Linked DNA regions of Arabidopsis thaliana. The protein of the gene in region 2 interacts with the protein of the main gene of each other region in a pairwise test. Each region holds a gene or a part of one and is shown on either strand. Other genes may lie near its edges. The genes, in order: AT2G27580 and AT1G26300.

Evidence for each region.
Region 1: the proteins of AT1G26300 (region 2) and AT2G27580 interact in a two-hybrid assay, tested with the Arabidopsis thaliana proteins (one large-scale study listed by BioGRID).

What each region holds. Positions count from the first base shown.
Region 1 is NC_003071.7:11,775,749-11,779,550, reverse strand, and holds AT2G27580 (A20/AN1-like zinc finger family protein), read left to right. Parts: upstream 1-1,997; 5' UTR 1,998-2,265; intron 2,266-2,382; 5' UTR 2,383-2,419; coding exon 2,420-2,911; 3' UTR 2,912-3,141; downstream 3,142-3,802. Other genes in the region: AT2G27590 (S-adenosyl-L-methionine-dependent methyltransferases superfamily protein), read left to right, coding at 224-330, 419-899, 1,008-1,126, 1,582-1,783; AT2G27570 (P-loop containing nucleoside triphosphate hydrolases superfamily protein), read right to left, coding at 3,246-3,411, 3,456-3,664, 3,719-3,802. UniProt on the Arabidopsis thaliana protein: May be involved in environmental stress response.
Region 2 is NC_003070.9:9,095,156-9,101,550, forward strand, and holds AT1G26300 (BSD domain-containing protein), read right to left. Parts: upstream 4,611-6,395; 5' UTR 4,592-4,610; coding exon 4,159-4,591; intron 4,092-4,158; coding exon 3,985-4,091; intron 3,884-3,984; coding exon 3,786-3,883; coding exon of another isoform or gene 3,782-3,785; exon of another isoform or gene 3,401-3,781; coding exon of another isoform or gene 3,002-3,400; exon of another isoform or gene 2,926-3,001; coding exon of another isoform or gene 2,896-2,925; exon of another isoform or gene 2,488-2,895; intron 1,473-2,487; coding exon 1,276-1,472; intron 1,071-1,275; coding exon 1,021-1,070; intron 934-1,020; coding exon 868-933; 3' UTR 613-867; downstream 1-612. Other genes in the region: AT1G26290 (uncharacterized protein), read left to right, coding at 2,896-2,925, 3,002-3,400; CAL (K-box region and MADS-box transcription factor family protein), read right to left, coding at 5,175-5,274, 5,489-5,637, 6,238-6,279.

The DNA.
Region 1 (3,802 bases), on a different chromosome or scaffold from region 2:
CTTGGCCTTCTAAGTTTCATTGAGTGGTTCTTACTGGTTTTATGAAATCAGTTAAAAGTACTTAAATTTTCTTAGGGAGAGAGTTCTCTGTATCTCTTGTATAAAGAAGCACTAAGATTTAACAAATTGTATTGTTTGTGTTTCACTGTTCTTGTTCTATCATCAAGCACTAAGCTTTAACATTTGTTGTTCTTGTCTTTTCATTGCTTTTTGTTTGTTGCAGTCACCAAAAGGAGACATAAGTTACTTGCAGAAGTTCTTTTTAATGTATGTTGGTGGAAGACAACCTTTCCATTTCCAAGAAGATTTCTGCGGCACTGCTCTTTTAAGGTTGTTGTGTGTTTCACTAAATGGTACAAAATAATGTAGCTTTTGGTTTTCTTGCTTGAATAAGTTTTTACATTGATTGTTGGAATAGTGCGGAGTGGCTGAAGACTGACACTAGACGGACTGCTATAGGGCTTGATTTTGATCTTGAGGCGTTAGAATGGTGTATGGATAACAACATTAGTAAACTTGGTTCTGACGTGTATTCAAGAATGTCGCTTTTCCATGGGAATGTTTTAACTCCTCTTGAGGCTAAGCAAGTGAAATCTAAATCCCATGAGCTGATACAAAATATCAGCTTGGATGATGGTGATGATAATGAAGATTTGGCTGATCCGAGTGTTGTCGAATCTTTAGAGAAAGATGGACCTGATTCGTTGCCAAAGAGGGATATTGTGTGTGCTTTTAATTTTAGTTGTTGTTGTCTCCACAAACGCTCGGAGTTGGTTTCTTACTTCAAGAATGCACGTGACGCTTTGTCTAAGAAAGGTGGTATCTTCGTGATGGATTTATATGGAGGTGCTTCTGCTGAGGGACAGTTGAAGCTTCAACGGAAATTCCCTAATTTCACGGTAATAGTTCATTCTTGTACTTCATTCGGTAAAAAAGGGTGTCAGAGCCATAAATATCGAACTTACTAGAGATAACCGTACTAACGATTGTCCATATTCATTTGGCAGTATACATGGGAGCAGGCTGAGTTTGATATTTTAAGCCGCAAGACAAGGATCAGTCTGCACTATCACCTTCAGAAGCAGAACAGAAAGATTCGCCATGCTTTTTCATATAGCTGGAGACTGTAAGTGTCCTGTAGTCTACTTCCACATCCATTCTTTCTTCAAAGTGGGACAGTCATTACCCACAATCTCCCACAAGCCTTAAGAAAATATTACAGTTACAAAAAAACGAAGCATATTTGGTACTTAGGGGTTTGCTTAGCATTTTAGATAACTTGATAAGTGTAGGCTTTTGGTAATTTTGGTTGGCTGGGTGAGGTAGAGATTCTGTAGTGCAGCCACTATGGATCAAAACTTACACAAACATGTGCTCGAATGTTACTGATATCTAAATTCATATGTTAGTGACTTATCCTTGTGTTGGCTGGTAAGTAGCAGTGAAATGATATTGAATGTTATATTCGGGCAAGACAATATTCCTGCTTTCCTTATTGTCTGTAGATTTATTGTACTTGCACTCTTGAATCATTAAGTTCCTGAGAAGTAACTCCTGGATCTGCTGTTCATATATGTGTAGGTGGTCATTGCCGGAGATAAAGGATTGTATGGAGGAAGCTGGGTTTAGCTCAGTCCATTTCTGGCTCAGAGAAATGCCGGACGCTTCTGAAATGCGTAGAACAGATGGGTTTGGTGCTGGACGTGATATCAAGTACGAACAAGTCAAGAGCTTTCAACAGTGTGATTCTTGGAATGCTTACATTGTTGCGGTCAGCCTCTAGTTATGCTTTCTATCTTTTGATCAAAAGACACTAGCCCTTTAACTCAGATCCTTTGTCGATTTTACATCTAGTATTTATTTCTGACACGCACTGGTTTAGTTTCATGATTTCAATATTATTTTTTTGTCGTCTCATGATTTCAATTATCAAGCACAAAATTGTTAAAATGAATAGTGTAGGTGCTTCTGGAATCTTCAACGCTAGCCCAAAAGCCAAATAACACCATTTTCCACAAATTGTCCAATTTCCATCTTACGGCCAACAAAAAAAAGAGTAAAATAACAATTTAATTTTGTATCGATTGCGTCGTCGTTAGTTTTCCCATTTCCTCATAATTCTTCATCTCTTTCCTTTCTCATCTCTCGATTCCTTTCTTTCTTTCCATATTCCATTGATTTCTCTCTTCTTATAAAAATACAGATTCTCTCTTCTTAGAACCATCACCGATTCGAACAGATCTAATAAATCGTTTTTTTCACCAGGTAATGACTTGTTGTTTTCGCCGATCCATTAGTTTTTTCTTTCTGTTCTATAGTTTTGATGAGATTTAAGCAACAGATCTATTGATTTTTGATTCCATCGATCGGTTAATTTTGTAGATTTTTTTCGCCGGAGTTTGTTTTGATCCATTCTGTTATGGCGGAAGAACACAGACTTCAAGAACCACGATTATGTGCTAACAATTGTGGCTTCTTCGGAAGCACAGCTACACAAAATCTCTGTTCCAAATGTTTTCGAGATCTTCAACATCAAGAACAAAACTCTTCCACCGCCAAACATGCTCTTACCCAATCCTTAGCCGCCGTTGGCGCTGCTGCGTCTTCCTCCGTGTCGCCACCGCCTCCGCCTCCAGCTGATTCGAAAGAAATCGTTGAAGCGAAATCAGAGAAACGAGCGGCGGCTGAACCGGAGGAGGCGGATGGTCCGCCGCAAGATCCGAAGCGGTGTTTGACTTGTCGGCGGCGCGTGGGAATCACGGGGTTTCGGTGTAGGTGTGGTTTCGTTTTCTGCGGGACGCATAGGTACGCGGAGCAACATGAATGTTCGTTTGATTTCAAGCGGATGGGGAAGGATAAGATCGCTAAAGCGAATCCGATTGTGAAAGCTGATAAGCTTGAGAAGATTTGACTTTGTTGTTTGTTGTTTGTTGTTGTTGCTTTGGTTTTGTGCGTTTGAATGAAACACACATGAAGAAGAAAGAGCAAGAAACAAACATGTCAATGTAAATTTAAGCTTTATTTGATGATTTCTTCAGTTTGGTTATTAAATTTGCTTATTATTGATTTGATTGTTCCGTTTGATGATCTTGTAGAAGGCTTAAGTCGTATTATCAATGTGTAGAATTTGGATTTGGTTGATTGGTTCGTCATTACATTAGCCATTAGCCAATATGTAGAACAGAGAAAAGCATGACAACAACATAGGGTAGTCTTATTACAATGCATTGGAGAAAAGCACAAACTCAGAATTTCAAACCAGAATTTTGAAGTTTCTCTTGGATGATCATGTCGATTTTGTTCTCCATTTCAGGAGTCAAATAGTTCTTCCAATCACCGACTTCTCCTTTACGGAAAAATGTTTTGTTATCTCTACCTTCACATAATTTTCCGGTCTTATTGATCTCCAAACTGCTTAGATTACGTAGAGAGCAAAGATCTATAATCTCATCCACCAATCCGTTCTCTTCTTCTTCCTTAGTAAAGGAGAATCTAAGAACTCAGCAAGTCTCTTGATCTGCTCATGAGGTTCTGCTTTCATCTCCTCAAACCTCATGAAAAGGACATGATTTGGATCTTCCAAGCTTCTTCTCCAGTAGCTTAAGACTTGGTCCCAAAAAGGCCCAAAAAAGTTGACTCCCTTACAAAAAGACTCGAACGTTTCCTCGAAACTGGTTTTTACGTTATCATCATTAGAAAAGAAATGCCAATATTAAACCAATGTGTCTTTCATGTTCCTGCAAATATACACAACTTTACAAGTAGAATCTTTAAGCACTTCTTGCAGCGTATGAGACGGCAT
Region 2 (6,395 bases):
AAAACAAATTGTCTTTATTGATGAAGTGTCAGCAATGTATCACGTATGTAATGTAAGAGGTACCCCTAGTTTCGTGATGAAACCATGTGGAATATTTTCCCGAAATGATGTAGACCGTCTTCGCTTTTTATACACTTTTTGTTCTTTATACATTGTCCTACTATATATTTAAACAATATAAAAACGAATAATAATATTAGAGGGATAACGAGAATTGGTCGTTTCTTCGTCTGACAAAACTATCTCTCTATGGGCGGGTCTATCCGTTGGCTGTGACTGCCTCTTGTTTTTTACTCACGCATGGCCATTGTTTAGATGTTCTTTCTCATACAGAGCACCGAACCAAAAAGAATTGTCTACAACTAAAACTATTGTATTGAGTTGCTTGGTGAGAAAGAAACTAGTGTTTGTCTTGTGTTTAGAGTTTACCTTTTAAGTTTTACCAAACGCCAACGATTGTTACAAGTATAAACTCAAAATGCATCTACGAAATATGGAACTAAGAAATAAAATTGAGATTGTGGTTTGAGGCCAGAGACAACGTTGCCATCAACACTCCTTCATAAATCTATAATGAATGCACTGCTTAGGAGATTTCAGAGTGCACCGAGATTCGGAAAAGCATGAATAGATTTCATTGTGAATTTGTGATGGGTGAACCCAAAAGACTAGAGAAGTTTAGAGTTGAAGTAATTGACTACTTATCGGTAGCAGTGCTGTACAAAACGAACCAGAGGACTGTTTGGCAAAACAAATGAATCATATATGAATTGCGAAATCAAGGTCTTCGTATGCATCACTTACTAAATCAAAACTATACATTTCAAGCATCTTCTTCATTTACCCTTTTCTAATTGGAACTTAAAACTAACAAGACACTTCGTTTCCTGCATTTGTTGTAGCTTTAGATGATTGCTTCTCGTCTTCAACATCCTGTAAACACGCAGCATAGGAAGTTCCTTAGTCCGAATTCATGAACAACAAGGTCTACATTTGGCGGAAATGTAAAAGGGTGCTTACTGAGTTTCCAATCTTGTCAAAGTCATCCTCAAGGCTTCCATCACCATCATCTGGAAGGGGTTAAACACAAATTAATAGATTATACATCCTGCTAAACTGAGCTAGAGACACAGTATACACAAAACCAAATTCAACGCCTTGGCTGATTCAAACAACTTGATATACGTTTATAATGACAAAATTAGTGACGTGGATACAAGAGGAAGATAACCTAAACACAGTTAAAAGTAGGGAGCAGAGAAGAGAAATTCTCACCTGGAGCTTCATCACTGTCTTCTAGATCACCCAACAGGAATGTATCCAGATCCTGCTCAGAAGACGCAGTAGATGTTCTACGGATTGCAACATTCTTTTCTACTGTTTCTGTCTCTCCAGTCGCTGGAGCCTTCTTAGCTTCTTCATTTCCATGCTCTCCTTTGGTCTTAAGTTCCTCCATGTACTTCCTCTCATATCTGAATAAAGTCATTACAAAAGAATGCCTCAGAACAAGCCAACTACCAAGATAACATATCATATCGATGAGATGCAAGGATCAACAAATTGCTATCCTCTACATGAAGGACTGTTGAAACCATCATTATAGATATAAGTCTAAGCTAATGGCATTCTTTCATCTCACGATCTCCTAAATGCATTACCAGGCTTCTTTATCAAATCCCTTTGTCCACACATTACTCAATTCCTTAATTACGATCCTAACTCACTAGTGTGAGTTACGCTTGCTTATCACATAGTGCGATGGAGATTGTAAGAGTAACAACAAAATCTTCTTTTACAACCATACACTATCATCTACAAAATAACATTAAATCCTAAAATCCAATTAGTTTTTTTTCTTAGCAATAATATGATTAGGAGAAAATTTAGCAAAGAAATGCTATCGGTGTATTAAGACATGGTAACTGATTAAGAATAAGAATCAAATAATTTAGTTTGCAACCAAAATGTTTTTTACTTATAAGTGTTAAGTTTCTAAGTTTTTGTAAATTAATTGAACACACTATCCAATCCCTTAAGAGAAAGTTCAATATGATTTTCACATAATTAAATTTTTAACACTTTTAAGTTTTAATTTTTGTGTGAATTAATTGGACACACAACATCCAAGCTCCTAAGAGGTGTCTTAGGTTCAATATGGTTTACACATAATTAAATTTTTAACACTTGTTTTTTTTCTTAAATTTTTTTGTTTTTTTGATAAGTGTTAATTTTAAAATTTTTGTGTAAATTAATTGGATACAATATCCAAACCCCTAAGAGATGTTCTAGGTTCAATATGGTTTACAAATAATTAAATTTTTGACACTTGCTTTTTGGCAATTAATATTAATATTATGTATATTTACAATATAAAAAAACAATACTCATTATTTTATGTATATTAATTGGACATAATATCTAATTATATAAAAAATATTATGTATACTTACAATAAATTAATTAGAGACAACATCCAATCAATTTTGTTTTTCTTTGGAAACAAACATGTCAATCTTCTTCTAAATATCTCAGTCACAGATCGTAAAGATCCTACTTTTAAGCAATCCATAGCAGCCTTACAAGTAAAGCACTATTCTCACCAACATATAAAAAGGACATCAGTTTCAGTTTAATCAACCACAACAAAGTTTCTGAATCCGCAATTAGATATATTTGGAGCGTAAATGTTTCCAAGGATCTTTTGTTAACGGTCACATAAAACCATACAATTAAGAACTTTTTATAACCTTATTTGGACCACCAACTATTGTATAACTGAGTCCCACAAGGAACTCCATCAAGACATATGTCAATGTCAAAACGATATTGTTTTATAACCCCATTTGTTAATCTAGTGGGAAAGAAATATATGCGCAAGGCGAGAAGTGTGGAGCCATGGACCACAAAGACTATAGCCGACAAAATGTAAGAAAAATATGTACATTATACCTTCATCATGGAAAGAAAAGCAGCTACTCATTGTTTATAAGTATTATTGTAGGCGGAGAGGAGACTCTTATTGTCTAAAGACGAAGAGAGGATCCGCGATGAGCTAGAAATGGAAATCGAAAGAAATTTGGAAGGGGAATTCAAGGACGGGATCTACAATCTCGCACTCAAGCTGCGTCGACTTTATGAACAAAGACGAGAAAGAGAGGAGTTGTTCGATGTTTCAATGAGAAAGAGCAAGAGAGTATTGGAGGTGAACATAAATATAAAGATGGAAGGAGATACCAAGATTGAGATCACAGAGAAGAAGAAGGAAGTAGACAACGAAAAGACGAAAAAGGCAGAGAATTCGGACAAGAGAAAGAAGTTTGTAGCAGTTGGTGAAGATAAAACAGGAAAAGAAAAGATGAAGAATCAAACGAGGGCTCATGAGCTCAGATGGAAATGGTAAAGAGAATGATTGGCCTGGATCTGTGCCTATATGCTGGTATCTATCTATGTTTGCACTTTTTCTTCCTGCAAATCCTACTTAAACACGAATGAAATAAGAGTTATGCTTGCTTATCACATAGTGCGATGGAGATTGTAAGAGTAACAACAAAATCTTCTTTTACAACCATACACTATCATCTAACAAAATAACACCAAATCCTAAAATCCAATTAGTTTTTTTATTAGCAATAATATGATTAGGAGAAAGTTTAGCAAAGAAATGCTATCGGTGTATTAAGACATGGTAACTGATTAAGAATAAGAATCAAATAAATATATAGAAGAGATAAAATAATGCTATTCTATAAAATCATAAATTTATAGAAGAGATGGTAAAGACTTACGGAGAAACATGAGTGCTCACTAGTGTGAAATAAATCCTCCAGAACCTCCTTTCTTTCATGAAACGAGGGCAAAGTTCGTATCTTAACTTGGAGATTTGCTGCAACAATGTGCAATGTGCATACAAAATCAGCTAACTAGATTCCTAGAGTAGACACTACAAGTCATATAACATATGAAATCTCGAATTTGAAAGTTGACCTTGACAGAGGTTAGAACCAGAGTGGCATGTCTCTCTTGCCAATCCGAGAGATCCTTTCGAACATTCGAAGCATTTGTTATCACATCGGAAACTTCATCCCCTTGATCTATACAAGTAGCTCACATTCAGCGAAACGAAGAGCCAACAAAATCGAAACAAAAATCAACAAATACCTTGATCAGGAAAAGCTTGGAATGTAGCAGAGGTCAAGCCTTCAGCGAACTCTCTCAAATCATCCGTTACACCGAATTCGAGAAGCTCCGCTTCTGAACCGGATCCTGACCCGGTCCCGGTCCCGATTATATCAGCGATCGATTTGATGTTCTGGATCTGATCAGCTTGTTTCAGCGCGGCGACTTTGAACTGATCCGCCTTCTTTGAAGCTTCAGCAGCGAATTCTTTGGATTTCTTAGCCGTTTCAGCAACGAAATCGGCGGCATTGAATTGATCAGCTTTCTTCGAAGCTTCGAGAGCGAGTTCCTTGGATTTCTTAGCAGTCTCGGTGACGAGATTGACGAAGGTCGCGGAGGATGATTGTGTTATCGTCTGAGACTTCTTACCCGCTTCTTCTGCGAACGATTTTGCCCTCTTCCATAGATCCTCCATTGCTGCGACTACTATTTTTCTTTTCTTCTCCGATTTGTTTTATACAGTTTCTTCTTTGGCAAAATGCCAAGTATTATGGGCTTAAACAATGAACTAATAATTATGAAGCCCACAAGGGCCCAATAATTCTCATTTCCGATCGTATCACGCACCTACATGAAGCAAATGGAGAAGAAACCGAATGTCACGTTCCCAACATTTTTATTTCTATTTTCAATTCAAAATTTACCTTCTAAGGCTGTGATTTACTTTGACCAAGTAAAGTTCAAATCATCAAAGACTAAATTCGTATTACAAATATTTTTTTTGTGTGAAAGAAATCAAATTACAATGTAACGATGAGATCAATATAGAAAAGGTTTGAACAACAATTCTTTCTAGCTCTCTCAGTCCCCAAATATTACATTTATTCATTGCTCCCCGAAATACAAGATATATTGAATTGGAAAAAGGCTTGATCATGTTGATATGATATAAGGACATACCAAAAATATATTAATTAACCGGTGTTTAATATAGATCATGAGTAGAGGATCGATCTTATATTATTTTAAAGAGATTGATATAGATCGATGTAGTCTATTCAAGCGGCGTAACAGCCAAGGTAATTGTAAATGGGTTCAAGAGTCAGATCCAGATTGTTCCTCCTCATCGCCGTTTGGTCTTCTTCTTGGTACAAACCACTGAAATTACAATCATATATAGCAAATTAAAATCATAATACAATAATATGCATGCATACCATCAACCTCTAACGCCATACCTAACACAAACCCTATATATGAAGTGCATTCACTATCATTGCCTATATGACTGACTGAACACTTCACTATATATGAGAATTTGACATTATGGTAAGAAAAAAGAACTTAAAAAAACAAGAAATACTGCCGTTACCCCATATTTAGGAAAGGAGAAGTCTGATGAGCGATCATGTAAAGATGGGGGTGTTGAAATGGTTGTGGCTGTGGTACATCGTCGACGCTGCGGTTCAGCTGCTCACATTGGGTTTGTTTTGTCCTTAGGATGTTTTCCCTCTCCTTTATCTATACCGATTACACACGCCAAGAAAATGATATAAGCATCATCTTTATATAGATTCCCATTTGCAACTAATCAGCTATTTGCATTTATTCAAGGAACTTCAATTTTTTATTCTTATACTTTTTTTTGTAATATGATATTTTCAAACAAAATGCAAAGTAATAATTAAATCTGCAAAATGTTAAGCGAATTTTAGCGTCGTCAAGGTCTTACTATTGTGATATTTTTTCATTTAATATATGTTCTTTAATCAAGTAGTTTCATCGTACGTTTTCTTACTTCTCAATAAAACTTAAATAGAGCTCCTAGCTATCTAGCTAATGTATGTGTAATTTACACATAGACTATGATTATGAGAAGACAGTTCAAGTTCAAGTTCAAATCTGGGAGACAACCTTAATACTAAACGGACAAAGCTTACCTATACGTGCAGCTAGGCTCATGATTATACCAATCAAAAGAAACTACATATCAATTCTTTTTACTCAAAAGAGTTGGTGCCGAAAGTGGAGAGATGGTAGCTTAAGGTAGAGATTGAAGTGGAGTTCAACAGTGGAATTGTAAATAGTGAAACAGTTAGAAATGCAAAAAACAATGATCACCTGTTTGGTAAGCATGCTGTTTTCCTCCTGTATCTCCTTCTCCTGTCATTTCCACAAAAATGACACCATTGTCAATTTCTCTTTTTATATGATCTATATAAGTATATATACATCTAGTAATTAATAATATATTAACCTGAATTATATATAACCTATAT